Linked DNA regions of Schizosaccharomyces pombe. The gene in region 4 interacts genetically with the main gene of each other region. Each region holds a gene or a part of one and is shown on either strand. Other genes may lie near its edges. The genes, in order: abo2, ani1, hip4 and ers1.

Region 1 (9,722 bases), on a different chromosome or scaffold from region 4:
TCGTCAAAACTGGTAACTGACCCAAACTCGGCTCCAAAAAGAGTTTTTGATGTTCTAAGACTATTTGTAGTCAAAGAAAGTACATCTGTATCATCCGATATGTTTTTTGCTTCTGTCATAAATCTGTTAAATTTTTGGTAGAGGATTTGTAGGTAGATGGCAGTTGGACTGACTTATTTGAAGCATCATAATCCACGAACATTAGCGAACGAGAAATATTAAGTACTAATATTTGAGAATAAAGTAGCTTACAAATGAATTGTCAAAATAAAAAAAGGGATGGTTATCAAGTAATAAAAGTTTGTAATATATATACATTTATTAAACGGTCTAGTTACGGATTATTAATAACATGATGTTCTAAAAGCGATAGTAGCAATAAATATATGGAGAGGAGGAAATGATGGAAAGTAATTAATTAACCCTGAATTTAAAAAGTAAATCATGCACAGGTAGTCTTGTCTAAAAAGAAAAAAAAGAAGCGGTAGAGAGGATTTGTGTATAAGTCAGGTAGTACTCAGAAAATACAAGTCGAAGAAAAGATAGATCAAAACGGATCATTGTAAAGCATTCAAAATTGAATTAATGGCCCATTGGACGTTATCTCTCACAGACATTTTACTAGAAGGGCTTAACTGTATACGCTTATCAAGCAATTTCCCTGTCACATCGCCATTGACAAACAAATGGGAATGACCATGTACATAGCCAGGCCAAACATAATTTTCGAAATAATGTGGGGGGTCTTGCCAAAATCCTGGAACAATTTGGAGTTAGCCTTAACTGAAAGGTACAACGATTAAACACAGGTGTTATGTTTTATCTGGATAGTTGAATTCTTACCTTCCAACGTTATATAACCAGTACGGGCTTCTCTACGACGCTTAAGCGTATCAAAATCGGTCACCAGCATCAGTCGAATATCAAATGCGTTTATAAGGTCTTCATTAACGTACATCATAAATCCGTCTACGAAAACGAGATGCTGTTCCAAAGTTGGAATGGCCGGTGCCTTGAATTCTTTAATTATATCAGCGTATTCTATTAGGGCTTCAGGAGCAACATTTTTATTTTCCCTATTTCGAAGGTGAGTAGGTAACACGCCATGATCACGGATATAATGCAAATTTTCAAGGAAAGCGTCTAAATTCAACGACTCTTGGCAATCCCAATCGGCAATGCCGTTTTTGACTGGTATCTCAGCATCAGTCTACAAAACAAACGAGTTAGTATATCAATAGGTGCTTTGGCACTACATAAAAACACAGTGTTTGCTTCATCGATAAGATTCAACCATCGGTTTTTAAAACGAGGGTACGATTTATTCTATGACACTTGCAAAATTCGCACGACTAGGCAAATAGACGAAATAATCTAAACGAACCTTGTAAAAATCATCTTCATGAACGAGAGAAGATCCTTCAAAAATGGCATGTAAAAGCTGGCATAGAGTCTGTCAAAACAAGAAAGAGAAATTGGTTAGTACTTCATTTTTTTTTTATTTTGGAGTTTTTGATTTTATTTTATTCTTTCTTATTAATCAAAATTATCATACCGATTTTCCACTACAAGAGGCACCACTAATTTTTTCTTGTTAATAAAAATTCATTAAAACAATTGCCTGTAGAACTTACCTAACCCCAACAATGATAGTTTTCCGAGTCATTCTAATGATAATATGGAAAAATGAAGGTAAAAATTGAGACAAGAAGCCTGGACAGAAGCTGGATACTGGAATTCGGTCTGTTATATTTGCACAACACAATTAATTAATTACCAGCCAAAAGCTGTAAGACAGGTTAACCGAATTTTAAAAAGAATTTGGATTTAAACAAAGCGCCTAGTATCTTAAATCAAGCTCGATGATTATTTGTTATGGAAATAAACGAGAATTTTAAAAAGATATGTGGTAAAGAAGCCGAATCCACAAAATTTTATAACAACCAACAAAACTTTTAGATATACAAGAACAAGTAAAAGATCACTTATAACGATTTCGCAAGTATAAGAAAATGGAAAAAGAAAGGAGTATACAAATTCTTTACGGTATAAATGGAGGATTTGAAAGATAATTTAAATTCACCAAATATTAACGCTTTCGAATACGTATAAGAATTTTTATATGGCAAATATGCCCGGTAAAGATTAATGGTGTTTTGAGTTATTGATCGTTTAAAACAAGAGTGAAATAGGAGGAAGGCTGGAGTTGGTAGTATGAAGATATGGTTAGTAGTATAATCAGTCAATAATACAAGGCTTTGGATGATAGCAATATACTAATCCGCTCCCGTCATGTATCCTTTACGAAAAGATAGGGTAGATAATAAGAGTAAAAAATACAATTTTTGTTTAAAATATATATATTTTTTGATTAGATAAAAAAAAGTGGTTCACTTTTTTTATTTATTTAGCCAAAGTATGTAGGAAATTGGAATTCTTTAATTGTTTTGCGAAAATTATTTTATTAATTATTGCTTTTTCCTTTCAAATTTGTGATAAACTATGTCTGAATAATATTAGTTTGCTATTTTCATTTTTTAAGTCGTTTTAATGTCTTTTGCTTATTGTTTACATTACACTTACTTAGTTCTACGGTAGCAAAGTTTTTATCAACTCCATGAAATGCGAATATTTCGATGAATTTAAAAAATATATGTATATTGGTTGAGTTTCTTGAGGCCTTGTTAAACGATTTTTGTAGTACTACACTTAGTAAATATAAAATTTTTTAACACTAGGTGTTTGGCTTCAGTTTTCCAATTTGACTAGCTTCAATTGCTTTTCCAAAAAAAAAATAAAAAAATAAATAAAATATAATAAAGCTATAAATTGCATGTAAATTGGATGAAACAATAGAATTAGTAATAATAATAAATACTGAATTCAAACATTAAGGAAATTTAAGGACACTATTTTAAAAATGAAATCAATATTGATCGAATTTCAATGGATCTGTATTGAATGCCAATGTAATTAGGAAATTAAAAGACCTTTTGGTTTAATAAAAAAATAAAAAAAGCCGTACCGATCTCTACCTTTGTTCATTATATCAATCTAATATGAGACGTAAAACTACGGATTATGAATAGTAAGTTTTCAAAGAGATTATAAAATAATACTCTTTGCATAAATTCTTCTCATCCTTTCAATTAACAGCGAAACGACGAAACACTGACAATCAATTAAATAAAAAAAAATACTATATCAGTGAGGAACGTCAAGTGAAGCTCAAGATTCGAAGTTGGCAATGAACTTTTATCCTCATAGAATTTCAAATCTATCCACATGTCTGTAAACAATGCATCAATGTATGGATATTACCAATGTACTAAACTGATCGTGGACAAATAATCTCAGAAAAGTCAATTTTTAAACAATATTGTTTTTGTAAAGATACTACTTCTGTTGTTTAGTCCAAAAATCCACTTACTCTACTATGTGCTTTCCTTTTCTTATAACGCATTGTTACGAACTTCATTTATTTACTTTTCCTTACAAACCTTCCATTCGTAAACCAGCATGTGGAAAACCTAAGATATCCCAAATTTTTTGGAGCCTTTAATTGTGCAATTGTAAATAAAAAATCTACATAACAAATTGTCTTAACCAAGTTGACAACGTCTTAATTTGTTGGTGCCAGCAGTGCATTTTGCGTGCAATGCGCAGAAGGGCCAGATCCATTCGTTTTAGTTCTGACGATAATGAAGATAATGAAGAAGATGATGATTATTACTCCAACGCACACAGCGAAAAATCAGAGGATCATTCAAATCATATAAAAGTTTCACATTTTGATCCTTCCTCCTATAAACAAAAGTTAGTTTCAGTGCGTGAAACTCAAAGAAATAGAAAATTCTCTTCGTTACAGAAACATCTAAACACAGAAACGCCTTCTTTTTCTGTTTCTATAGAAAATCCTTCAAAGCCTTCTGCGGCATTCAATGATGCATCATTGGGAAAGAAGAGTACTGAACATCAAATTGATGGTATCAGAAATGGAAGTAGTAACCTTCAAATGGAAGGAAATGATAAAGAGCTAGACACTGATAATAATGAGGACGAATCCACTACCTTTAAGGATGAAGAAGACGATTTGATAAGTCCGAAATCATATCTTACTTCTTCAAAAACCTTTTCGTATCCAAAAGCTCCAACAGAATCAACAAATGGTGATTATTTAGATGAAGACTACGTAGATGGACAAAGTGATCCTGAGTCTTCGAACGCCAGTGATTCTGACTTCGCGGATAGCCCTGATGATTTGACAAAAGTGCGCTCACCCATTCCAAGTAGAAGAGGACGTAGAAAAAGAAAAATGAGAGGTCCAATTTTGCCAGTTAAAAAAAATTTAAGGGTCAAGAAGGCAATGAGTCCTCTTCGCGCTGAGCGAAATTCACCAGATTTCCGACGCAAACTTCGTAGTCGTGACAATCGACCGAATTATCATTTATTTGACTATTACAACGAAATTGCATCTTCCCCAAATCCTTCAACAACGAAGATTACTTATAATCCGCCAAAATTGCCTATGAAAGATTTTGCTACTCTTCCCATCGGTTATCAAAGTACTTGCGATAGTGATGAAACGAGTGAGTTGAGCAGTACAAGTTCAGAGCAAACTTCCGACGTTGAAGGACTTAATGCTTACAATAATTTGGGCGCTAGTTCAGATATTGAGAATGCTCCCTCCTCTCAACTTCACTTTGGTCACATAGACGAAAAGACGATTAGAAGTACTGACCCTTTTGCCAATAGGGAAAATCTTGATTTCAATTCCATAGGAGGACTGGAAGATATTATACTTCAACTGAAAGAAATGGTGATGCTTCCTTTGTTATATCCAGAAGTATTCTTACATCTGCACATCACACCTCCTAGAGGTGTCTTGTTTCATGGTCCTCCAGGGACTGGAAAAACACTAATGGCTAGGGTGTTGGCCGCTAACTGCTCGACCAAAAATCAAAAAATTAGTTTCTTCTTGAGAAAAGGGTCTGATTGTTTAAGCAAATGGGTTGGCGAAGCAGAAAGGCAACTTAGGCTTTTATTCGAAGAAGCTAGAAGAGTACAACCCAGCATCATATTCTTTGATGAAATAGATGGGCTTGCTCCTATTCGATCTTCAAAACAAGAGCAAACTCACAGTTCCATTGTCTCCACCTTGCTTGCTTTAATGGATGGCCTCGATACGCGTGGACAAGTAGTAGTAATTGGTGCTACTAATCGTCCCAACGATCTTGACCCGGCCTTAAGGAGACCCGGTAGATTTGATCGCGAATTCTACTTCCCTCTACCAAATAAGCAAGCACGTATGAAAATTCTTGAAATCAATTCTTTACATTTTTCTCCAAAAATACCAGAGAGCTACTTATTACACTTAGCGGAATCTACGTCTGGTTATGGTGGAGCAGATTTAAAAGCTTTATGCACCGAAGCAGCCCTTAATGCAGTTCGACGCACCTTCCCCCAAATTTACACATCTTCTGACAAATTTTTAATTGACCTGAATGAAATATCCGTTAGCATTTGCGATTTTGTAGTCGCATCTGAGAAGATTGCTGTTTCTACACGAAGAAGTGATGTTAAGCCGAATATACCTATTACGGATTCCCACAAAATTCTGTTTAAGAAAAGTATTGAGGTTATAACGTCAAAAATTAGACGACTATTAAAACTTGACGTATATTTACCAACGGTCGAGTCTTTACAAAAACTTCCTGCTGAAGAGTTGATGAGGCAAAAAGAAATTAACTCTCTAAAAACTACCATGTCATTCCGCCCAAGACTATTGATTACTGATATTTATGGATATGGATGTACTTATTTAAGCAAAGTGCTTTTCTCTATGTTAGATGGTATCCACGTGCAGTCTTTGGATATTTCTGAGTTGTTAATGGACACAACCACATCTCCGAGGTCTTTGTTAACCAAGATATTCTCTGAAGCCCGAAAAAATGCGCCAAGTATTATATTTATCAATAACGTAGAAAAATGGCCATCTCTATTTTCACATAGCTTTTTGTCAATGTTCCTTCTTTTATTAGATTCAATTTCCCCTTTAGAACCTGTCATGTTACTGGGGTTTGCTAATACTAATCAAGAAAAATTGTCGTCTACCGTCCGCTCCTGGTTTCCTTCTCATCGAAGCGAATATCATGACTTGTCGTTTCCTGATTATTCATCAAGATACTCTTTTTTCCATTACTTGCTTAAACGTATTTCATTCCTTCCCATTCACCAAAAGAGCGCCGAAGCAGCAAGCGTTGATATTTTACCCAAAGTACTACCAGTTTCTAAAACATCAGATTTAACCGACAAAGTAAACCGAAGACAAAGAAAGAACGACAAGAAAATAAAAAACAAAATTCAGGTTAAACTTAGCTCAATACTTGAAATGCTTCGCTCTCGTTATAAAAAGTTCAAAAAACCGATAATAGATTTAAATGACATTTACATTGATGAGTCGAACGAAAGGGTGGTAAAAGGAAAATCGAAGGATAATTTTGAGTATTTCCTTTCAGGAAATACAGTCACTCGTAAAAAAGACAATGCTTGTTTCAAAATGATGAACTTTGAGGAAATTGAAAGACGCTTATGGAGTGGACGTTACTGTACTCCTAAAGAGTTTTTGCGTGATATCAAAATGATCAAACAAGATGCGATCCTGTCTGGCGACGTGAACCTCAAACACAAAGCCAAAGAAATGTTTGCGCATGCCGAATTAAATGTTGATGAGTTGATTGATGCAAAGCTGTTGTATGATTGTTGTCAAGTCTCCAAGAGGGAAAAGGCATATAAACAACTAAAACAAAAAAAACTGAACAATGCAAAGGATGCTCATGAGATGCAAGAATCAAAGAATGAAGAAACATTTGTGAGAAACGATGTTGCACAAGAAGACAATTTCATTGAGCTTTCGTCAAATGAGGTTCGCAACGTTTCTAATGATGAACATAAACATACTTTATTTCATGGACAATCACTTACTCATAACAATTTGATTGCTGTCACTCCACCTAGCAGGACTGGTGTTGAACACAAAGAAGAGAACAAAAAATACGATAACGTAAATATTCAAAAAACCTTGGCAAAATGTGCAGAGGAATTTGCTGAACATACCAATTTTAATAAGGTGGAACTACTAGATTTTGTTTATTCCAAATTGTCATCCACTATTTGGGAAAATCGTGAGGAGCATGATCTTCTTAAGATAGTTCGGGATGTAAGACAAACTTTCTTTCGGTCGCTTGAGGATATGGGTGTTTAATGAAATTTTGGGTTAATGTGTCTAAGCGATCTGTTAGTGAGATACAACAAATCTAAATGATAGTTGGTAATGAATGAAAGCTCACAATAAAAGATAGGAACCACGAAAGAAGATACATTTGAAATTGAAAAGCTAATATCGGTTTCCGATGACACAGAATAGTACGTCCTTTGAATTACCAGCATATTTTCCATTTGCATTTAAAAGATAGTAAAATGGACGATCGCGAATTTTCAGAGTGATTGGGTTTTTCTGTAGGGAGTAAGTAACGATTGATACGTCTTTTCTTGGAACAATTAATGATTTAGAAAAATAAAGCTTGTTAAATGGTGATAAAAATCCAGTTACAATTTCAAACCGTTGGGATGGTAAGGTAGAAATTGAATAAATATTTCGTCTTGGTAAAAATAAAATCAACGTTAAAGTAAAGTAAAGAGCAGGAGTAATAAAAGCAGATCCAATATAAGATAATTTCTCGTAATAATCCATATCGACCCAATTGGCAAATATCTCATCTTTTGCGCGATATATGTCAACACTGGCAAAAGAAGTAATCACACAGACATTTATAAGCATCCCGACAGTTAATAAATAAATAAGACTGATTTTCTTATCTGCTTTTGCTTGATATACAAGAAAAGGCTCCCGAGTTGTCATTGCTTGCCAAGCAATTTTCGCTGGGGTTGCATTCCGTTTTGAGGTAATATCTTTCAGTATGTTAGAGTTATGGAATTTTTTGATGGGCGGCTTATTAAACACTCTCAATATTGATATTTCCGAGAAAGACTTCTGAATTGGACGCAATGACCTAAACATAGGATTGAACATATTTGTTGAAACAATTCGAGACAACAACGCCTTATGCCTAGCAACACGTATATTAAAGATTAGCATACTCATAACTTCGCAACATGAAAATGTTCAATTGATCAGCTTAACCCTTTAATTAATTAAATTACCCGTGTAAATTCAAGGGTGAAGAATTGAATGTAAATACGTGTAAACATTTTAGCAAATGTTTTACGCATTCGAATAATACTTAGTGGATTATTGTCCGTTTGATATTACCAAATAGAGAATCCCAATGAGAATATTTAAAAAAATAACGCACTCAACCACGATGAAGGCAGCAGCATGGAAAATGCTGAAAAAAGAAATGTAAATGTCAATTATACGGCTGAATAGTCAGACGTTTTAACAAGCCGGGTGTAAAAATTTTTTTGATCTATTCAAGCGCTGCTTTATTTTTATAAAATATGTACTGGCATTGTTGAAAGCTGACTTTTAGTTCATCATGAACAAAATAATATATTTCGGCTTTCCGAATCGTTAAAATGCAAGAAGTAATTAATGTTACAAAAAATTAAAGATGCCATTTACTTCAACCACTCCTCGTCTATTGTTTTCATACACAAATGAAACGGAAACCGTGTAACCTTGCTACATACTTTTAATACAATTAACACTTTACGGACTACGTGGAAAGTGTAAGACAAAAGCAGAATAGCATAAGTCCTTTATTCATGATATAAGTGCTGAGAACGGAGCTTACTCATCCAAGCATATAGACACACAATGCTCTTTTTTTTTTAAAGAATGCTTGAATGGGCACACGTAGCCGATGTACTGAAGGCATATTTACTAACTGATTCATTACCTATAATTTGAGTTAGTCTAACCATGATAGGTCATTAGTTAAATGACTCGTATTTGCGAAATAGAAACCAAATATTATTTATGATGCAGTAAACGATGAATAAATCCAATAAATGAAAGATTTAGAGATTGAACTTTAACGAAATAAGAAGGGCTTGAGGAAGATGCGAGGAACTGGAAAAGAATGATGTGTAAGAAAAATAATAGACATTATCAAAGAAATAGGCAAAAGGTCAAGCACAACTAGTTGAAGGCAGTCGGTTAGACGAAATATTAGAATCTGTAATACTAATGCAAAAAGAGCATACGGAAGAGAAAGTAGTGAATAAAAGAAAGTCCAAGAATTCGTGGTACTACCACAAGGATATAAGAAGCTCAAAAAAATGGAAATGCAATAGAAAGAAGAAATCATCAAAGGAATGAGAAAATAGATACGAGAAAAATCCTTCAACAAGTTCTTATTGAAAGTAAATGAAATCAAAAATACTCAGTTTTTCTTCCTTTGCTTTTCTACTTCAACAGCTGATAAAATAGGATACCCGATGAAAAGCATTAACAATCCACAACTCAGAAGAATTAAAGTCAAAATATTTACAAATCCACGCAAAGTAAAAATATTCAAATCGCGGCCATCATAGAAATCTTCATTGTGCAAAATATCATCGACTTCCTTAACACTAGGATCCCATAAAAGTGTAGCAGACTGCATAGTCACCGGAGACTCCACGGTTCCCAAGGAACTAGCACTGCCAAATGCTGATTCTGATGGCCCAGTCAGTTGTGCTGAGGCAATTTCATCTGT
Region 2 (4,572 bases), on a different chromosome or scaffold from region 4:
GTCATCTGCATGAGATAGTTCTTTTAACTTGCTGATCGAAAATTCTATGTCATTAACTTATTTATCACACCAATTTATATCTTACTATTTTTATTTAAACCCTTCACGAGACCGTTTTCTCTTAAAGAGCCTTTTCTCTGCATTTTCAAGTTGCTTGATTTGGGCATGTTGATTGTTTACGTTTCAGAAAAATATATGCCCGCCTTAAGATTTGCCTGTAAACAGAAGCACAATTTTCAAATAAACAATATAGAAAAAAGACAAATAATAAAAATAATTCTTTAAATTCTAAAACTGCTTGTTTTTTTTTAAGTTGATTATTACGATAATTAATTTTAAGAATTTCGTAAACAAACAGCTGTTTGTAGACTTATTTAGCGATAATCAGATAATGGCTCTTTTATTATCAATATGTTTTTTTTTACTTTTAATAGAGTTTTTCGGAATGTTCTCGTTTATATTTACTCAAACTCAAAATTCCATAATTTAAACATCCTTAACTAGTATCGATCAAGGAAGCGCTATTCTCTTTTCTCTTAATGCTCATACACATACAAACAGCTCTTTCTAAAAAATTGTATATTGATTATATCTCCTTTATCACCCAACAATCCAAATCATCCAAAAGTCCTATATCCAAAGTGTTTGTAACACTTAACTAAAAAAAAATTTCCTAACTCAAATACAAAATGATACCCTGATTTTTTTTGAAACCTAAGAAAAAGATAGGCGATAAAAAGAGTTAATAGAATACATAGTTTAATCCGCGATCTTCTTAAACACGGGAGTTAAAGTATGTTCATCTTCAACATGAAAATTTAGTGAACGCGAACAAGCTTGACTTCAAAAACTAAGGTAGAATTCTTGGGAATTCCTGGAATGCTCTGGTTGCCGTAAGCCATGGGAGCAGGAATTGTAATCTTACGCTCACCGCCTTCTTGCATTCCAGCAACGCCGACGTCCCACCCGCGAATAACCTCACCACGACCAAGGATAAAAGCAAAGGGTTTACCTTTAGTGTTTTTGTCAAAAACCTTTCCATTTTCGAGCTTCCCAATATATCTCATTTCAACTTTTTTCCCATTGGTAGCAGACGCACCGCTCCCAGTTTTAACATCAGTTACAACCACGCCTCCTTTTAAAGTACGAGTCTTGGGACTAGAAGGTGCATTAGAAGAAGCTTGTTGCTTTTCTTTCTTAGCAGCGGGACCAGTAGGTCCTTGTTCAAGTTTTTCGGCAAATGCAACCTTCTTTTCCTTAACAGGGGTACCCTCAACCTTTTGCTTCTTGGTATTGTTTTTCTTAGGAGAAGCAGCCTCTTCTTGCTCGGATTCATCCTTAGTACGTTTTTTTTTAACCTGTGCCTTTTTAGCAGGAGCTGAATCCAATTCATCCTCCTCAGATGCTGAATTATCTTCCGACTCAGATTCCTCTTCACTTTCCTCATCACCGCTGACAGTCTCGACAAGATCCTCCTCAGTAGGAGACAAATCGTAATCCTCGTCAGATTCTTCCTCTTCCTCATCTTCTTCGTCAACCAAAAAGTTACCAGACAAGTGGATGGTTGCATCGCCAGATGCACTGAAGAAGACTTCGTCGCCAGGAGTAATGGTCAAATTTAAAGGCTGTTGGTATAAGGAACCAGGCTTCAAAGTACATAAAACAAATTCACGCTGGCTTTCTTCCAGAAGCTCTTGCATTTGTTCGTCAAGTTCTTCGTCATCTTCATCTTCAACGGGGATACGGGGACGAACCTTCACCAATAAAGTAGTTGGTTTATTAGACTTTTCGCCGGCATCAATGGATGCCATAGTCAAATGAATAGATGCATCTGTAGATTCCTCCACAGCGGGAACATCTTTTCCCTTTACCGAAAGACTATAAACAGCAATTGGAAGAGACATGACTTATTCTTGCCTAAGAGGTGAGGTGGTAGAGGATGTAAAAAATTTTGATACATAAACCGTTGTGTATTCCATTAAGTAAGGGTAGTGCGTATTACCGCGATTTGCAAATTATACTCAAAATTAATTAAATTTGGACGAGCGTGCATCACAACAAACGCGTAGTAATTATTTTTGATATTTCGTTGTTTTTTACTTTGAAATAGTTTGGCTTCACGAGTTTTGGGATAAGGTTAAATAATGAAAGAAAAAAGCTCTTGCAGTTAGTTTTTCTTTATAAACATTGTTTGTTTATTAATTACACTTTTTCCGCTTAAGTGGCTACATTATTATTTGTATTATTTTCCTTTCAGAAACATATTAATACTTATATTTACTGAAAGTGAGAAGCGCGCTGGATGGCTTTTAATCAAAGGAAGCGTCGACGCCCAGTAGGGATTGCAGACTTTGACGAAGCAAACGATGAGGCATACGAAAGTGTTGGGTTCCACGACTATGCAGATTATTTTTCCCGGAAACAAAGAAAGCTTCAAAATCAAAATGCCGCTCTATACAAAAGTATTGATGAAGATTCTAAATCTGATCTCTTTCATGGACTTGCAATAGCGATTAATGGATATACAAAGCCGTCTTATACCGAATTACGGCAAATGATAGTTTCAAATGGAGGTACTTTTATACAATATGTTGATGGAAAAACAAGCATATCATATTTGGTGTGTTCATTTCTCACTCCTTCCAAAGCTCGCCAATGGAAGCATCAGAAAGTGGTTAAACCAGAATGGATAGTGGATTGCATCAAACAGAAGAAAATTCTTCCGTGGATAAATTATCGTACCTTTCAAGCTTCATCGGCTCAAGCTACCCTTTCTTTTGTCGCCTCTAAACCTAGCCAACCCGAAGGTAACTTAGAAGATATTCAAACAAGCTCGCAGGAAGAAGAACATGATAATGAAAAAGATAAAACAAAAGAGAGTAAAGCAAAGGGATTTTTAGATGATTTGAGTGGATTATCAGCGTCTTCACTGCACAACTATCAATTGTTAAAAAATCCCAATGTCCGAAATTCAACCACTCAAAATCAAGATTTTCTTGAGAATTTCTTTAGCTCCTCTCGTTTACATCACTTAAGTACTTGGAAAGCTGATTTTAAAAATGAAATCCAAGCAATGACTACTGCTTCTGAACCTGTTCGTCCAATTATGAAAGATAAATCAAAAAAATCTCGTTTCCTTCTTCATGTTGATTTTGATTGCTTTTTTGCTTCCGTTTCAACACGCTTTTCTCATGAGCTACGACTGAAGCCCGTTGCTGTTGCTCATGGTATAAAAAATTCCGAAATAGCTAGTTGTAATTATGAGGCTCGGAAGTTTGGCATAAAAAATGGTATGTACGTTGGAACAGCTAAAAACCTGTGTCCTTCATTACGGGTTGTTGATTATGATTTTGGAGCATACGAATCTGTTTCTAGAGAATTTTACACTATCCTTGTTAATACACTTCACGACTATATTAAGGTTATAAGTATAGACGAGGCTCTTCTAGATATAACTTCTAGTGTTTCATCTTTTCAAGATTGCTTTGAGATTGCCGAGTCTATCCGCTCGCAGGTTCGCGAGAAAACCAATTGCGAAGTTAGCGTTGGTATTGGCCCAAATGTTCTCTTAGCAAGACTTGCACTTAGGAAGGCGAAGCCTCACAACGTTTATTCTTTGTCAATAGAAAATGTTTTTGATGTATTGAGTCCTTTGTCTGTTCAAGATTTACCAGGGGTGGGCTCTTCACAAGCGCAGAAACTTTTTAATTTGTACGGTGTGCGTACTATTGGGCAGCTGCAAAGAATTGAAAAATTCAATCTTCAAGAGACTTTTGGGGTAAATTACGGTCTGCATTTATACAATATTTCCAGAGGAATTGATACCGATATAATCAATAATGAAACCCCACGGAGGTCCATATCCGTAGATGTTAATTGGGGTGTTCGTTTCGTTTTTCAAGAGGATGGGATAGATTTCTTAAAACGGTTGCTTCATGAGTTGCTTTCCAGAATGGGTAAATGCCAAGTGCTTTTGCATCAAATTCAGCTTCGGATTTTGAAAAGGGCTGATGGAGCCCCTTTCAGTCCACCAAAGTACCTTGGAGCTGGGGAAGTCACTTCATTTACAAAATCTTCAACTTTTACTTCTGCTACTAATTCGTTTGACTTAATATGGAAGAAGGTGACCTCAATGTATAAAACAATTAATGTCGATCCAGGAGATGTACGTGGTATAGGATTACAAGCTCTCAAAATTATTAAAGACAACTCTAAAATTAGAAAAGATTACCGCTCTATACAGAGCATAACTTCTCGAAATAAAGTGTCGCTAAAAGGTGCATCTGTTGACATATCAAGTAAAGATAAAGAAATAATTAGTCAAAAGAAGCAGCTGTCTCCAAAACTTATTCCATCAACACCGTATGATCTGCCGTCATCTTCTCAAATCAGTTCCAGTGCTCTAGCTCAATTACCACCTTCGATGCAGTCTGATATACAGCAGCAATTGAGGTTGCAAAAGCGAAGTATTACGGAATATCCAAGCCAGTTAGATCCTTTGTTTATGGTTGAATTACCTACTCCTATAAGAAATGAAGTAAACGATAATCATGAGATTGCCATGAACAAACG
Region 3 (7,493 bases), on a different chromosome or scaffold from region 4:
AGCGGCCATCTCCACGCAGTATCCGAGTGTTCAGTAACCAGGCTACTGATAATAGGACCAAAGTCAGCTCCACTAACGACGAAAAACGCATAGAAAATCAACGCAGTACCTCTCTGTGCCGGGCACCAAAGATCCGCCATCACACCTCCTGAAGATACGACAGGGGCGCCAGCAAACAGGCCAGCAAAAAATCGTGTACACATGATGGCCGCCACGCTGTCAGAGCTGGCAGTTCCTATTGTGAAGAGAATGGACAGGAAAAAAGGAACTAAGACGCCGATTTTTCTCCCATTCACTTCAGAGAAGGGCGCAAAAATCATAGGACCAAATGCGATCCCCAAAATGTATAAACAAGTGGGTAAAACGGCAACCTCATGACCAATTGGATATGCATTGACGAGATGAGAAGTAGTAGGTGACATGGTAGTACTATTGAACTGTGCAGCAAATGTTGTCAATCCATAAAGTGCTGTATTCAATAGTTTAATTGAAACTGGCCAATTCAACGGTTTCTCAGGATCGTCTTCGCCATTGAATGTTACAAGAAAATCGCTGTCAGGATAGGAGTATAATTCCTCCTCAACGTCTTCATCGCACTTCTCTATTTCGGAGGATGAGACGCTGTTCAAATGATCATTTTCTTTCATTGTTATAAGAAGGAAATTAATCACAGACGATGTCTAACACTTTTTCCTAGTTATATTTTTCGTAAACCTCGGTGTTAGTGCTTTCAGAGCTGCTATTTCATCCCAGTCTAGTTATTTGTAAACAGCAAATTCAGTACGAGGCCGAAATTTTCATTATTGTTGACAGCCTCAGCATCGCCCATACCATCTATCTAGTCTGGACTCTAATGTTAACAAAAAAGCATTTGCTGTAAAATATTATGTTAAAAAGGTTAGAGATACCTCTTTAATATAAATATTTTCCCAAAGGCACATTTTTTACCATACAGCTTATAATTATATAACTGCATACCATTATAAAATATGTCTTCACATAACCCATCTTTACAGTACCACACTAAGTTACCAGATTTTGATAAGATAGGGGTCCTAATGCAAGTAGCTGTAGTGGAGCTCACATTGTATAGAACTTGAGCTCACATCGGTCCATCCTAGCAATAAAGCAGCATAGAAGGTCAAAGAAGCAATTTTGATTAAATGTAAAAAAAAAAAAATGCTGCGTGGATGCATTACTTTTCCAGCTTCACTAGGCCAATGTCCCTATATGCTGTCCATGGAAAACAACACTCTATGCACTTGAATTTTCCAGTTGGGGAAAGAAAGAGAATGCGCGCTGGGTGTGATAGAATTGGAATAGTGCTGGATAGATAGTTGGTATTTTTACTATGTTTATTTTTTTTAACGGTTTTTTTCCTACGAACCTTCATAAGAGTCATTTGAAAATACTCCTATTTTATTATGGAACAAAAACACGCTCAAATCATTTTCGCATTCTTATAAATATTTCAATTCGCAAGTATCTAGGGATGAGGTTCAAGACAGCGACTGCGACAATGCAATTCAATTCCATTCCGTAGGAAAAACGAAATTGTACATTTTCACCAAAATAAGAAGACCTCTATCATCATAAGTTCCTCTTTTTTGTTTAATTTCGGCCTATATGCTGCCCTACATGCTTATGGGGATTTTAAAAACGGAATTGCCGTTTTCTTCAGAACCCAACATCCGTCTTTATATTATGCGAGGCTGCTTCTTGATAAAATCCAACAACTGAAAACAATCTTGTTCCTCTTGGATAAGGGATATTCTTAAAACACTCAATGCTTGCGTATCATCGCATCCCTTCCAAATACATTTGGTTCAGGTATTTGTTTACATCGTCTTTAGCCTTTCCAGTATGACTGTGGAATCAAAGTCATAACGAAAAACATAGAAAATTATTTTCATAAATGTTTTTTTTTACAAAATAGAGAAACTCATAAACGCGGAAATAGACTATTTACTCTTTCCAATATTGTGGCTTTCTGCGCGGACTAAATACAAATTACCCTACCCATTATCTCGCTTAACGGTATGCACCTTTTCATTAAACAATAATAACGGCGCGTAAACTTTTGGTAAATACAATAACGTATTACGTTAAATTTCGAAATAGAGGTTTTCTTTCAGTCTTTTCCACACTACAAGTACATGTCTTTATTACAAAAAGGCGTTCTTTCAATCTTGAATAGCCATTGAATCTTTGTATTACTTTAGCTTTTTTTCCCTTTTATTAAGTTTTCTTTCAAAGCAATTGTTTTTGGATTCGCAAACTCCATATTATCGGGTTTCTCTTTTTTTGTTCGTGGGTAATTAGGCTTCATTTTATTTATTATCAATCATCAATTCAAAAGTTTTTTTCGTTTAAGAAATTTTAACATCCCTTTTCTATTTTTATCGGGTTGTATCGGATTTTGTTTATTAACCCAATTCTGATTGTGTATTTTCATCCTCTTTCTCCATTATTTGTGATTCCTCCTTTATCATCGGTCTGTAATGGAAACAACTGAAGGAAAAAATGACTTACGAGCAAAGCTTGCTGAAAAGATTCAGACATTTCGCTCTCAAAGAAAAGCTACTGAAAAAGTAGACCGTGCTCTACTTTTACAGCGCAGAAAAGAAAAGGCAAAAGCTCGTGCTGAAGCGAAGAAGTTAGCTAAAAAGGAGTCAAAGGCTAAACAGGAATCAAAAGTGGCAGCTTATGACACTGGGAACTCTTCTGATAACATTGCTGACGAGGAAAATGACAACCACAAGAGCACTATTACTTATGGTACTTTAATAGTCGGAGATGACAAATTCTCGAATGGTAAACTAAAAGTTGCCGGAAAAAAGCGAGGTCCTACTGATGTCTTTGGCGCTCTAAAGCATTTGGAAGCCAAGAAACGCCGTATTGAAAGCATGGACGAAGAGAAAAGGAGAAAAATTGAAGAAAGTGATAAATGGCATAGAGTTTTGCTTCAGGCAGAAGGGAAAAAACTCAAAGATAACGAGCAATTGCTTAAAAAGAGCATTCGTCGCAAAGAAAAGGAAAAGAAAAAGTCTTCAGACGCTTGGAAGGAAAGGAAGGACAACGAAAAAAAAGCAATGTTAATGCGGCAGCAACGTAGAGAAGAAAATTTGAAAAAACGTAGAGAAAGTAAAAAGTCTAAGAAGGGGAAGGCACCAAAAAAGAAGAAGCCATCCAAGAAAAAATAGACGCTTAACTTTAAATTTGTTCAAAAATTATACTGGTCTGTTGGGATTTAATGGTTAACAAGGAGGTTTGGGTTTAAATAGCTTTTTTTGTCATTTGATTATGAATGAATACATAAATTTACTCATACAAACAGTAACACTGAAACAAAATTCTGCCTTAAAAAAGAAATAGATAATCAATGCGGTGTGATGATAATTGCTTTTTATTAACGAAAAAAATATGATATAAAAATAATATACAGAAATCGATTGACAGATCTTCAGGTCACTACATATGTATAATTATGGGATGCTACTAGTTGGAATTGATTTCTCTGGTTCAGCTTGATGTTCATCAACGGGTAAGGATGCATTCTGAGAAAGAACGATGCTTACTTGTTGAGTAGGTTTCGAAACGACAGAAGCATTGCCCTGATCAATAGGTAGGGAGGTCGAAGGTTTGAGTTCCTCCGTAGAAGGATTAGTTAAAGCACTTGGAGGAGAAATGTGCTCATTAACAGTAGCGGGAGAATGCTTTGGTTCAGAGAGAGGTGGTATAGGGGGTGTAGATGTAAGAGGTGTCTCAAGTTTAACAGCCTTTTTGGTATTTTCTCCCGTACTTTGTTTGGGCACTGAAGAGGATGTCTTTTTTGTGGCTTTCTCTTTGCTTTTCGTTGTTTTTGCTTCCTTCTTAGAGACATCCTTGGGAACCTTTGCATTTTCCCGTTTTGCCTCTTTTAAAGCATTCTTAGCAGCCATTTCAATGGACAAAGTCCTTAATGGCTGCTCGTCCTCAGATTCAATATCCCTACTATCGTCAAAGCTAGCATCCGCTGAAGCCACCACCGCAGAGACAGCTGGCGCAGGGTGTGTAGCATTGGATAAAGATGTTTTCTTCTTTTTCTTAGTCTTCTTTGATCTTTCGATTTTCACAGTATCTCCTTCGGCCACGAGTGGACCGCTAAATACAAAAAATCCATCTTTGGTAGCGGCAGCCTTCTCTTCAATGTAGAGCTCAGCATCATCAATAAAGGGATCTGTTCTATCGTAGTATTCGTCAGCGTACCTCCTTTTCCTTTTCTTTTTCTTTATGGTCTGTGTACCATCGGCCGCCCCATTAGCTGCTTGTTGCTCATCAACATGTGTACTTTCGCCCTCAGAATCCGCTGAGTCTGAAAGATCATTTTTTTTTGAATTCTCCTGAACAGAGGGTCCATAAAGTTTTTCCACTTCTTTTGCAAAATTAATATGTACGTTTTCTTTGCCTTGCAAAGGAATTTCCAAGCAAATAATTCGTTGGTCGCCAGACAAAAGCGACATGACGAACAAAAGCGAAGTATAGTGAAAACGTAGAAGAAAAAATTTGCAAGGAAAAGTAATCCTAACAAGCGAAAATGGTAGTTTTAATTACAATTGAGTCCAAGACTTAGTGCCGTCGTTTCACTGAATCCAATGGATAAGTTAATAGAAATTTTCAATTCAAGAGCACTCTTAACAATTGAACAAGGCTAAGAGTTGATAGCATTAAAGAAACAAACTGCAGACCAAAAAATGAGAAATTGGACGCTTGCACTTTTTTGTAACTGAATAAATGATAAGTTCTGCGACGCTGCGTCAAATTTCTATAAGAGAGTGCAACAACAAGTGATTGAACTAGAAGCAACAAAAAATGCAAAGTGGTTAAATGATAAACAATAATTTGATTAGGAGGATGGTAAAGTAATACTTTATTTGGTAATAACTTTGAAACGAGTACGAACAATTCCCACAGTATGGGGATAGATCAAGTAAATAGCACGTTATAATGCAACTTATACTGAACAACATTAGCGCAGCAATCCTCACTTTCTTAAAAGTAAAGGGCAAAAAAGAATGCTCCTGGTGAGGCTCGAACTCACGACCTTCCCCTGTCATTATATGAGAGGGATGCTACCACCGACTGAGCTACAGAAGCTTGTGGTACACAGAAAAAAGTTACATTATATATAGGGTAAATTTATTAATTATATGAAGAGATAAATTATCATTTCTAATTACTATACGTATATATGAGTTTGGAGATTTTCAATGGAAAGAAAGGAATGAAAATGATTAATTGATCTGAATTTTTTGTTTTTAAGGAAAACTTTATTCATGGAAATTGGGTATTCAGTTGGCATTGCTTTATCAATACTCCACTACTAAGTAAAGAAAACTGTTCATGTGTGCACAGTATCATGACTACAGAACTGTATGAATGGGAAATTGTCATTTTAATCATTTAAGCTCTTAATAAACAAATTGTACTCAATATAAGCTTACTTCTCATAATCATTTCTCCTAAATAGCTAGCTGCTCCCCAATTCGTTATTCCCTTTCTACTGCAGGTCGCATTCATTGTAGTATAGACATTTGCGACTCTATCGAAGAATAAAGTCATAACATCCTAGGAATTTTTTTTCAACGAATATTTTTATTCGTAATTTTCTAGATTACAACTCCTGATCTACCAAGGCAAAAAGAAACCATCGTTTGCTTTAGTGCCAACAAAACATATACAGCAGTGGTTTATAGTATATTGTGGTTTTCGTTACAACTCACCATCCTTTTATTAAAAATTTAGCAGGAAGTGGTAGTTAGTTCATTTTTTTGATTTTTAGAAAAATTCATGTCGAATACACATTTGTTAAAGAAAGTTAACGAATTATTGATTCAGCCGGTGAACCAGAAATTACCCGACATCTCTTTTTCTTTCGTTGTGTGATTATAACAGTGCTTCAGACATATTTTGTTCGTCTATTATTCGACTTTTAGAATGTAAACATGTGAATACGCAAACCTGCTATTGTACGAGGAATTTATTTGCTCAGTGTACGAGACCCTGGCCTTTTTCATCACTAATACTTGGCTACGCATTGCTCCTGCTGTCATACGGAATTTCGAACAAACCAGATGCAAAATGCATTTCGTAGCCACATTACAAGTTTAGGGGTGAATTAGCAAAAAATAAGTCGTTAGCTATATGAACTTGCTGCATCTAGAATACCAATAGGCAATGAAAAGAGCTATGCCGTCTAAGGAGAAAATTTCTGTAACTGACATGGAAATAATTAATCAGTGGACGTTGCACTTTACTTAATGTTTACGTAAAAAACCGATAAACGAAAATTTATCGAAGAAATACTAATATTTAGAGTCCAAAAAAAAGACATAAAAGGATGGTCTTCACCGAAAATCCAAACAATTTCATCGAACTCTTTCTGTCTTCAAGGAGTTATACATTGTAAAGCACTATACAAACTATTTTTAACTCAAAAATGCCTGCTAAAACTAGAAATGTCTTAATTGCTTGCTCTGATTATTATGGACCATTTTATAAAGATGGTGAGAATACTGGAGCATTTTTTTTAGAATTGTTACATCCTTATTTGGTATTTAGAGATGCTTGTTTCAATGTTGACATTGTTACTGAATCAGGGAAAATCCAATTCGATGATCATTCAGTAGCAGGTCCGGCAATTGACAAGGGATCTAAGGGTGAAGAGTTTTTGAGCTATGATGATCACATCGCAAGTGGCCCTGAGCTATCCAAAGCTGAAAAATATGTTTTGGAAAATAAGGATGATATGTTTTGGAGGATTGTGCAAAATTCCAAAACCGCCGACGAAGTGAATCCTGACAAGTATGACATTTTCTTCGTAGCAGGAGGACATGCCACTCTATTTGATTTTCCAAAAGCTACAAATTTGCAAAAACTTGGTACTTCCATTTATGAAAATGGGGGAGTAGTAGCTGCCGTGTGCCATGGTCCTACATTACTTCCATTCATGAAGCGTCAAACGTCCGACGGCTCTGTTTCAATTGTCTGTGGTAAAGATGTTACCGCCTTCGATAGGGTGGCCGAGGATAAATCCAAACTTATGGAAGCGCTGAAAAAATACAACTTGGAGGTTTTGGACGATATGTTGAATGATGCAGGAGCCAACTTTATCAAGTCACCAAACCCATTCGGTGATTTTGTAATAGCAGATGGAAGATTAGTTACTGGTTCCAATCCTGCAAGTGCTACATCTACGGCGAAAACGGCTTTGCGTGTTTTGTAAAGCGAAACGATAATAAAGCTATTGGATAATGAGTCTTTTTAAACGATTAATTTGAACGTATGATGAAATTTATGTATACAGGAAAAATTAATGATGCGAACATAATTTGACGCCGATGAATAATAACACTCAAAATCATTGATGATATTTAAAGTGGATTACATACACTAGAAATGAATAAGATTGAATATATACTATAAAAAAAAATTTGTCAGAATTTTTCAAAAAA
Region 4 (9,258 bases):
ATTATACGAACGAGGTTTACCCTGCCTCTCATTTTTTTTGCTTTCGAGCCGATCTTTCTCCTTTACTTCACGGATTCTTTTAGCTTCCTCAGCGGATAAGGGAGGCCGCTCCGACGTCTGTCTTGTCGATGCAGCTATTCTTTTCGCCTCCATAGCTTGCTGGCGTCTTTGCTCTTCTTCATATTTCTGCCGTAGTTCACGCTCACGCTGTAGTTTCCTTTGCCTGTTGCGTTCTTCAGTAATTTCCCGTGCTTTCTCTCGGATCTGCGCCTTTCTCAATTGTTCAATTTGAACTGCGGCTTGGGCAGATTGGCTATCTGCTAAAGCCATTAATTTTTGAAATGATGGGGTTCCTGCCATTTTATTATGAGATACAATCAATTCTTAATAATCCTCCTCAAAAAACCATAAATAATCAGTACAAAAACATGATTACCCTCCTACATGCAATACGATGATGGTTTCTGGTAAGTCGCACACATAAGTTTGATACCCAAAAGCTAAGCGATTGTGCAACGTAACGATATATACAGTACCCCTTTATTTAACTCTAAGAAATTTTATAGGGTAGGGTTTACGTGACTGTTTATAGTGACCAAAACTTGTAGCAGGAAACACTAGAAAAGATACGTTTGACCATCACCAACTACGGCATAAAATCCAATACACAGCATGGCCGAAGAACATGATGAAGCCGTTCGCGTTGCCGAACTGAGAAAGAAGAGAAGTTTCCGTACTTTTGCTTACCGTGGTGTTGAGCTTGAGCAGCTTTTGGATCTCTCTGCTGAGCAATTGGTTGATTTGTTCCATGCCCGTGCTCGTCGTCGTATGCTTCGTGGTCTTGGACCCAATGCCTCTCGCTTCATCCGTAAGCTCCGCAAGGCTAAGACTGAAGCTCCTCTTAATGAGAAGCCCGCCACTGTTAAGACCCATTTGCGTAACATGATCATCCTTCCCGAGATGGTCGGTTCTGTCGTTGGTATTTACAACGGTAAGCTCTTCAACCAAGTTGAGATTCGTCCTGAAATGATTGGTCACTACTTGGGTGAGTTCTCTATCACTTACAAGCCTACTAAGCACGGTCGTCCCGGTATTGGTGCCACTCATAGTTCTCGTTTCATTCCTCTTAAGTAAAGAGATGCAAAAAGGCGGGTTCAATGGATGGTTTCACTTCTATCTTATTCAATAATTTCTTTGTTTGGACTAACGTTGTACATTCGCATAAAAACCTAGGTTTTTTCAAGATATCTAAATTTGGTAGTGAAAGTAACAGTTGTAGAGCTGCGTGTTCGTAAACATGAATTATGTAAAGAGAAATACAGACAGATAATTTTTGTATTTGTAAAGTAACGAGTGTGTATAGTTGAAGGAGCATGGAAGTGTAACACAGAGCCGGACATATTGATTTACTTGACACTTGAATCTGCAATTTGACAGCTACGATTAGATTGCTAGCTTCATGATGTTTTACAAAAGCTACTTGTCCCACTCTTGGCTTGCCATCTAGCTAGTGAACCTATGAGAATATTTTATCATTATATTTTGGAAACCATCATTTGTTTTTGTTTCTCAACTAGCTCGAAATAACCTAAATGGTACTACATTGTAAAAACCAAGCTTTCGTTTACGTTTTACCACCGTAGAGTATATGTACCAATTCTGGGTGCTTGTTTGTAAATCTGAATTTTTTTGTAAGCTATTAGTTTTAAGGATAAATAAATATGTTTAATGCTATTCAATATTAATGGTATATCCTAGGTCAACTTCACAATACACTATACTCTAGGGTTCATCCTTCATAGAATATTACTCTCTTCGCTATATCTTAGAACTGATATATGCACTAATTTTTTAACTCGCATTAGACGAGTCCTTTCTAAGGAGCTAGCTTAATGATTATGTACATAAAATCTTCATTTTAACATCATTCAAAGTATTCTATTTAGTCGCTCGACTTTTCGACTTCTTTAGTCTCCTGTAACTTTCTCAAAATTTGTCATTAATCAACCATCAGCCAAGGTCTGATTGATTTGGTCTTTTTTTGTTAAGTAATTAATTTTGGAAGTGCTTACACTGAAGACGTCTATATGCTCAAAAGTCGCTGTTAGTTTGTTGCCTTTGCGTGAACTTGCTTTGTTAATTTCAATACCATATTGACTTGTTTTTCGATCAGTATTCAACTGTTTTTATTTTAATCCTGATAATCTTGATTTAAATCAAATTTACTTCCTAAATGGATATTTACGAACATAAAAAATCATTCATGGAACGACAGATACGGCTGTTGAACCGACCTATGCGCCCTCCAAAGGATTGGAAACTTCCTTTAAAATCCGGTCAGCTTTCAGAATCAGTCGTTGAAACTGTATTCCAACGTACGTGTTCCATGCTTTTGTCTGGATTTCTCCTACAAATAAAAAGTTCAAAATATTATTATTAACCAAAACAGGATTGCAACTTCGTATCCAAAAGCATGCAAAGCTAAATTATTCACATCAAGCAACTCAGCATGTTGCCGCTCAAATACGAAAGTTATATGAACAAAATAGCGCTATTGAGGACATTACCTTTTTAAATCCATTATTTTATGGAGAAATTGATTTAAGCAATTTAGACAGTGTAAAATCACTTCCCCATCCATGGCCTTTTCAAAAAGAATCCCGACCTGTCGAAAAGGATGAGGAGCAAGAGAAGTTCAATCGTCTTACGGGAGAGTTACTTGGTCTATTAACAACGTTGTCAGAATTAGAACAGGAGCGCTCTGAACTTGAGCAAATCGAAAAAATGTTGGAACCTTTTGAAGATGGGCCTTCTTCAATACATACGAATATGTGGAAGAAAAACCCTGAATTGATATCAACCCTCAACAGTACGAACACCATGGTAGCTAAAATTAATTCTCTTCTCAGAGGGGTTTCATTTCCTTCTTTAAACAATGACAATCAGGAAGCGTCATTGGAGGACGAAATCAGAAGCCAATTATTCGAAAAAACTATTTCTGATGATTAAAAAACTTTTCGTAGAAATTGAGAGGGAATGATGTTCATGAACTCCTATTGCATCTCATCATCTGCTTTTGAAATAATGACTAATACTTAATTGGAGGAGAGGGTGCCTTATTTCCTGGTTTAAGGATTTTATTGACTCTACTAGAAATGTTGGGGCTATAGAAATAACTTTGAAGCTTCTACTTTACGTTCAGATATTTATTGGTTAATGATTTCCTAGCTTTGGGAGGCATTAAGTTAGTTGATAAGACAACACATTTTTATTTACAAATGAGTGTCCGCTAAACAAAATACGTTTCTTAACAATTGTCTTAGTTTTATTTTTTAGTTTACAGTGTTTCTAACCTTTAATGAATCATTACAGCTTATAATTCAAATACTCAGCTCTCGATTGTAAGTACGTTAACATTAATTTTATCACAATTATAATACCTACATACAAGGAACTATAGATTTAATTATTTTTCTTTTCTTCTGATAATTCATAAAGCTTTATATTCCTAATGAATTCATATTACTTCACTTATATTCTGAAGCTGCATATAGCATGTACCATCTGTAAGCTCGATGAAATGAGTGATGGGTAAAGTATCTGCAAACAATCAATCTGGTAAGTCAATGTGTATCATTCTTTTGCTAATATTAGGATTTTTTAAATTTTATATCGATACAGCGTTGCTTTTAAATGCTGAATTTATATCCTCCTTCACAAATTGTATAAAGTATGGTTTTGCGCAAATGGACTATTACTGATGATATAGTTCTGAATATAATGGAAAAGTAAAAATTTCTTACTCTTCTTCATCTCAGGTATTTTATATATCCTAGCTATTGACGCTAATAATTCAGCAATTCAAAGTCATAGTGTACGAGGAACACAAAAGAGAAGCGTTTAGTCTGTAAGTTCCATGCGTTCATCCTAAATATTATTTTAAATATTAATTAACATGCTAGTTTTGAGGAAATAGTTCAAAAGTTGAAGCGCGAATCAACTGTTTACAAGAAACCACGCCTAGATATTCATCCATTCGGGCAATTGCATTATGATTTTACTACTTTATTGAATTTTCAAAGGTACTTAGACTTAGGATACGGTATTGAAGATGTGAAAATAAAAGAAAATGAGGACATTGTTAAGTCTAAAGTGGGCAAGAAACCGACATCCTCCGATTTTTATATTCCTTGCTTGATAAAACCTAAAATCATTACTCCTTTTGAATGGGAAGGAAATTTTAAACAGGTCATTTATTCGCCTACTGTTTACAACGGGAGTTTCAAGCGATTATTTTACCTTCCCGACAATAATGATTTGCTCAAGGAGTTTGCGCATGCTACCAACACAAAATACAAGGCTTCTTTAAAAGATAATGTATGTATTTGTGAAGATACTTCTACCATCCTAACTTTTGACTAGAAAATAGTTGTATTAGCCAATAACGATCAGGACATTAATGCTATGTTGGAGAAAATGAAGCATATAGAGAATTTAGTGTCCCAGAAAGTCTATGAATATCCTGAAGAAACTCTTGTTTATGCAGGAAAGATTGCACCCTGCCAACTGAAATTTCTAAAATTAAAATTTGAAAACGAGATTTTATACACAGCTATGCATACGACATCTATTTTCAAAAGCGTTTTCAATATCCTTGGATCTTTTTATACTATGAGATTATTGAGAAATAAACATGATGGTGATTCTTATGAGTTGGTACCAGTTTTTGCTAAAAATCCTTCCAAAACCCCTCCCTGTAATGATAATTTTAAAATATTTTCTGATGATATAAAGCTGATAGGATGTAAAATATTTGCAGGTGTTTCTTTAAACTTCTCTTCTCCGAAACCAGCGCACAGATTTTACGAGTTAAATAAAACTTCATCCAATTTGTCGATCCCAGTCTTACAAAAGCCGTCAAATTTTCATTCTTCGTCAACCGAATTATCTGATAATTCAATTCATCAAGGAAGGAGAGCAGTTGATCCTGTTGTTAACCAGAATAATCCGTCAAATTTTGAAGAAATGATTATGAACAAGTTGAATAAATTACCCACGATTGATAAGCAAATTTTAGGAACTTCATCTTTGACCCATTTCCAAGATAAAACAACTGCAATTGAGCATTCAATTAATAAGTCTAATAGCAAGCAGCCTCCTCGGTTCAAATTTCAGCTTCCTCCTCGACCTACGAGCAATACTTTACCATTGGAACCTGAAGAAGAGCTGGTTACTAGATATTCTGTTTCTTCGGATGGTAATACTGTTGACGAAGCAATAACTAAACAGTCTCAGACTTTTCAATTGGTCAATTCAAATGAATTTAATGAAGTTAACGCTAATGATGTTCATAAATCTTTGCGACAAAATTGCGCAAAATTGGATTTCGACGATTCAAAGTCTAAAAACCTATTAAGTGTAGAATGTTTAGAGCTTGACAAAGGATCAGATTGTTCCACTCCAAAATCTGGCAGCTTAACTCCTTCAATTGACATGAAGTTTTTACGTTTACAAGATGAGAAAATGGACGACCTTGGTGACAACTATTATACAATTCTAATGTCTTCCAATCCGGTATCAAGCTACGGTGTGGGAAGCTTATACTTATTTCAACCAAAAATAGTATGCTCTGAAAAATACATTAATCACGAAGAGATTGACAACATGAATTTGAAATCATTGCACAGATGGTTATCTAGAAGGTCTGTGGTATTGACTAAATATGTAAACATAAGTCTAACACTTTGTTTAGCTTGCATGTACTTCAATCCTTTTCAGGTGAAATTGAATTGAATTTAGAGTATGCGTTTATTTTTGAATAAATATTAATCCAACAGGTTTGGCGTCATACTATATCCAAATATCTCATCAGATGTGTCGGCTTGTTCACATGGTTTTATGAATATATATAAGGATTTGAATCTTCCCCGATCATATTTTGCAGACTGGTAGGTTGAGTCTTCATATGTTATATTAACCTTTTTATAAAGCATTACCAAATCAGTTTCGAATATCGATTCATTATTGAATACTCCTGTGAAAATTTTGTTTGGACGTACTGAGTATACTTATCCTTTAATAGAGCATGAAGTATTAGATTCAAAGAATTACTTTGTTTTCAAGGGAAGTTTATTATTTACAGATGATAAGAGAAACAAGACAGAGGATTCCACTGTATTTTTTTCGATGATTTGTTCTTCAAAGTTAGATCAGTTTGCGTTTTATAAAGATTCTAAGCAATCTTCTACTTGCACTATCAATTTTCCTTTAGCGTATGTTATGAATGTTTTTAAGGAAAAAAACAACTAATCATGACTTATAGCTTATGGGATTCCCGTCTACGTATCGAAACGAAAGTCCCTTTAAATGATGCGATACTTACAGAGTTCTCCAAAAGTATTAGATTTAGGTATGTCAATTTCTGAAAGCTTCGACTAATCAGTTGACTAGAAACGTAAATAAGGATTTACTGTTAGTCTTTGGAAATATGGAAGACAGAGTAATAATTCATTCGGTCACAAGAATTAATGAAAACTCTGTACCTTTTAACAAAAATTTACTCCCTCACTCTCTAGAATTTATATTAAAATGTTCAAAAGTTAAGAGCTATGACATTAGCCCGTCATCTATTAATTCCAAAGAAGCCTTCGTTTGTCTCGACAGATCCAAGGAAAGCAAACCTATAGAATCCTGTTTCAGTCTAAGTATACAAAGTGTGTACATGCAGTCTCAGTTCAAATATAATAACAGTATACGCGCAGGAGAAACGGCTCCGTGGAAACTTGCAAATAAACAATTCATTGGTGGGGCTATTACTGAGAATGTTTCAGACTTGTATACTGCAGCAATTATTATGGTGAATCAATTAGGGGGGATACACCCTACTATTTAATTAATTTTATTTATGCGTTAATATCAATTTTGTTTATACCACTTAACATAAATAACCCCTCAAACCAAATTCTTAAATTAAAACAATGCGAGGACCCATTTAAAACGAAACATATAGAGTCAGTTTCATTTACCCGGGTTCTCCAATGCATCCAATTCCACTGCACGCTCGCGCAATTTATCGTATCCTTTCAATACACCTCTCCATTCGGAATCTGTTCCATAATTGATATTTATCAACTCTATGTCCCTATTTATTTTTCTTAAAACTTGAGATATTTTCTTCCTATGATTGTTGGGTTCATCAGCTACACTGAAAACTTGTTCAGTAAACAATCCAAGCATCGATAAAACCGTTCTACAAACTTTTGAAGCAGACGGAGAGTTGGATCCATCTTTAACAACTGGGCAAGCGTCAGACCACGAGTTTCTAATGAATTCTATAATTCCAGGTATTAAAGGATATATTGTCTGCCAACGGAAAGTAGGGTTATCGACAAGATCGTGTTTATTTGGATTGAATAGCGACAAATATGCAAATGAACAAGGAGATCTAAACGCCTCGTATTTCGGATGTATTACAATGCATTGTTGCAAATAGGGATACTTTAAATGAACGGATGATTGTTGATTTTTTGCTTGTAACTTAGGGTTCAAACCCAATTGTAAAAAATCGTTACATACAGTTAGGTGTCTTATCATGTTAGCGGAAGACTTCTTTGAAAAGCTAGTTGTTCTCTTCACAGAGGCACTCTCTGAGTTCCACCCGAGAAGGTTTGTAAAGCACTCTAATGTTTTCTTCCACTGTAACGAAATTGCAGAGGAACTTAGCCGATCTTTACAAGCATTGATGAGTAAGGAGAGAAACTTTGTAGAGTCATTCCGTATTGAAGGAGTAATATGAGTCATCCCTGAGTGTGTGTAGAGAAATATCATTCCAATGTTCGGTTCCAGCAATTCTGGCCCCATTATATATATAAATTTTTCAAGAAATCGATATAGACAATCTCGTACCGATGAGGATTCATCAAGTATCAAAGGCGATGTTAACTTTAACAGCAGCGCTGTCGACGTCGTCAAAATGCTTGTATGAGATAAAACATATTGTGTAAGCTTTTCCAACGTCTCTTTAACATGTTAGCAAAAGATGCATAAGTTAATAGAAAATTTCTCTTACCCTGCCGTTGATTGGCATTATGATGCTTTAACATTCCTAAAAGATGTGCAAAGTACGCCTGATCCTTAGCTGTTGTATTGAAATCCTCCTTTTCTAAAGCTGCCTGTGTTGGAAGTACGAGCGCTAGATGTTTAGGTTAGTTATTTGAATAAAAATTCCTTTTGTTCATACTTTTTGTTCTGAATGAGGTATCGGTAAAATTATTTGGTGCATTTTTTGATTTTCCCACCTTGAGTTTTTGTTTCTAAAAAATCAGTTAATACAGCTATTTCCGACAACAATTTTACATTAAAATCAGCTCTTTTAGCTTTTGCTTTCTTTGATTTACCCATATTTAATATATTGTGGAATTAATTGTACAATTTAAACTTCGTACTTTCAGACAACGTTACGTTTGGTGGAGTACCCAAAATGTAGAAAATGTGAGTAGTGCCTAATGTAATGAAATGAGAAAATTTTCGATTTGTTAATCCAAGTCGTTTTGCAACAACACATTCATTAATAAAAAATTTCAATTTAATCAAAAGATTTGCATTTTGTATGTACGATTAAAAAAGTGTGCTGATGATTGAAAAAATTAATGTTTAGTTGGCATTGTCATCTTTCTTCCTATTTAGCCGTAAAAATCCAAATGCCTTATGAAATTGCTCCCTTTCAAGTTCGAATGATGACATTTTTGTAACAGCTGGCATTATTTGAGTGCTAGTAACCGATACGGTTTTGTAAATTTCAGTTGGTTCTTTTTCATAGTAATCATGTAATTTCATATTCACTGCCTGCAGTTGCAAAACTTTATGCTGTAATACATTTAAACTCTTTTCCATTTCACAACTATGAGGCAGTGGAGTATCAATAAATGAACTGTTGTCTTTAGCGACACCATAAGGAAATGTTAGTTGATAAAGTATAAAAAGTGTCATCCCCGTAAAAGTCAGAAACACTAGGAATTGCTGCAAACACTTTCGAAAACTCGAAGGTGCTTCATTGGTTTTATTAGTTTCAACGACATTAGTTACAATAGGTGCACCATCAGGTATAGGTTTTTCCGGTAGATAAGATAGTATTAGTTCAGAAACGTTTTTAGCTTTGCAGCCGAGTACTAATAAGCTAGTGGGTTGATCTAGAGTTTTTTTAGAATTTTGATTGGCATATCCAATTAGATAATAAGTGGTAGATTGTATATTAATGGT

The links.
Region 1: mutations in ers1 (region 4) and abo2 together harm fitness more than expected from each alone (negative genetic interaction), as found in Schizosaccharomyces pombe (2 studies listed by BioGRID).
Region 2: mutations in ers1 (region 4) and ani1 together harm fitness more than expected from each alone (negative genetic interaction), as found in Schizosaccharomyces pombe (2 studies listed by BioGRID).
Region 3: mutations in ers1 (region 4) and hip4 together harm fitness more than expected from each alone (negative genetic interaction), as found in Schizosaccharomyces pombe (2 studies listed by BioGRID).

The regions. Positions count from the first base shown.
Region 1 is NC_003423.3:1,436,509-1,446,230, reverse strand, and holds abo2 (ATPase histone chaperone), read left to right. Parts: upstream 1-3,509; 5' UTR 3,510-3,658; coding exon 3,659-7,264; 3' UTR 7,265-7,396; downstream 7,397-9,722. Other genes in the region: Prp19 complex WD repeat protein Prp5, read right to left, coding at 1-119; nrk1 (nicotinamide riboside kinase), read right to left, coding at 558-757, 844-1,210, 1,385-1,453, 1,556-1,580, 1,635-1,666; SPOM_SPBP22H7.04 (uncharacterized protein), read right to left, coding at 7,397-8,164; actinomyosin ring linker protein Sbg1, read right to left, coding at 9,408-9,722. UniProt on the Schizosaccharomyces pombe protein: Probable ATPase which may play a role in nucleosome organization.
Region 2 is NC_003423.3:4,061,889-4,066,460, reverse strand, and holds ani1 (FKBP-type peptidyl-prolyl cis-trans isomerase), read right to left. Parts: upstream 1,942-4,572; 5' UTR 1,905-1,941; coding exon 819-1,904; 3' UTR 501-818; downstream 1-500. Other genes in the region: sporulation specific PIL domain protein Meu14, read right to left, coding at 1-44, 86-167; deoxycytidyl transferase Rev1, read left to right, coding at 2,303-4,572. UniProt on the Schizosaccharomyces pombe protein: PPIase that acts as a histone chaperone. Histone proline isomerase that increases the rate of cis-trans isomerization at prolines on the histone H3 N-terminal tail. Proline isomerization influences H3 methylation thereby regulating gene expression.
Region 3 is NC_003423.3:656,094-663,586, reverse strand, and holds hip4 (histone H3.3-H4 chaperone, HIR complex subunit Hip4), read right to left. Parts: upstream 4,963-7,493; 5' UTR 4,503-4,962; coding exon 3,486-4,502; 3' UTR 3,356-3,485; downstream 1-3,355. Other genes in the region: SPOM_SPBC947.06C (spermidine family transporter), read right to left, coding at 1-647; rrp1402 (ribosome biogenesis protein Rrp14-C), read left to right, coding at 2,502-3,203; hsp3103 (ThiJ domain protein, glyoxylase III), read left to right, coding at 6,479-7,264. UniProt on the Schizosaccharomyces pombe protein: Component of the HIR complex, which functions as a histone chaperone that cooperates with cia1/asf1 to promote replication-independent chromatin assembly.
Region 4 is NC_003421.2:797,610-806,867, forward strand, and holds ers1 (RNA-silencing factor Ers1), read left to right. Parts: upstream 1-3,548; 5' UTR 3,549-3,587; coding exon 3,588-3,618; exon of another isoform or gene 3,619-3,654; coding exon 3,655-3,730; exon of another isoform or gene 3,731-3,769; coding exon 3,770-3,818; exon of another isoform or gene 3,819-3,857; coding exon 3,858-3,907; exon of another isoform or gene 3,908-3,930; intron 3,931-3,962; coding exon 3,963-4,377; intron 4,378-4,422; coding exon 4,423-5,702; intron 5,703-5,751; exon of another isoform or gene 5,752-5,752; coding exon 5,753-5,800; exon of another isoform or gene 5,801-5,837; coding exon 5,838-5,948; exon of another isoform or gene 5,949-5,990; coding exon 5,991-6,272; intron 6,273-6,322; coding exon 6,323-6,409; intron 6,410-6,450; coding exon 6,451-6,892; 3' UTR 6,893-6,934; downstream 6,935-9,258. Other genes in the region: histone H3-H4 chaperone Spt2, read right to left, coding at 1-360; rps1501 (40S ribosomal protein uS19), read left to right, coding at 673-1,134; protein Fta4, read left to right, coding at 2,234-2,375, 2,450-3,009; rRNA processing protein Ipi1, read right to left, coding at 7,018-8,018, 8,069-8,191, 8,240-8,312, 8,356-8,400; protein mug4, read right to left, coding at 8,653-9,258. UniProt on the Schizosaccharomyces pombe protein: Involved in RNAi-dependent heterochromatin formation and centromeric silencing.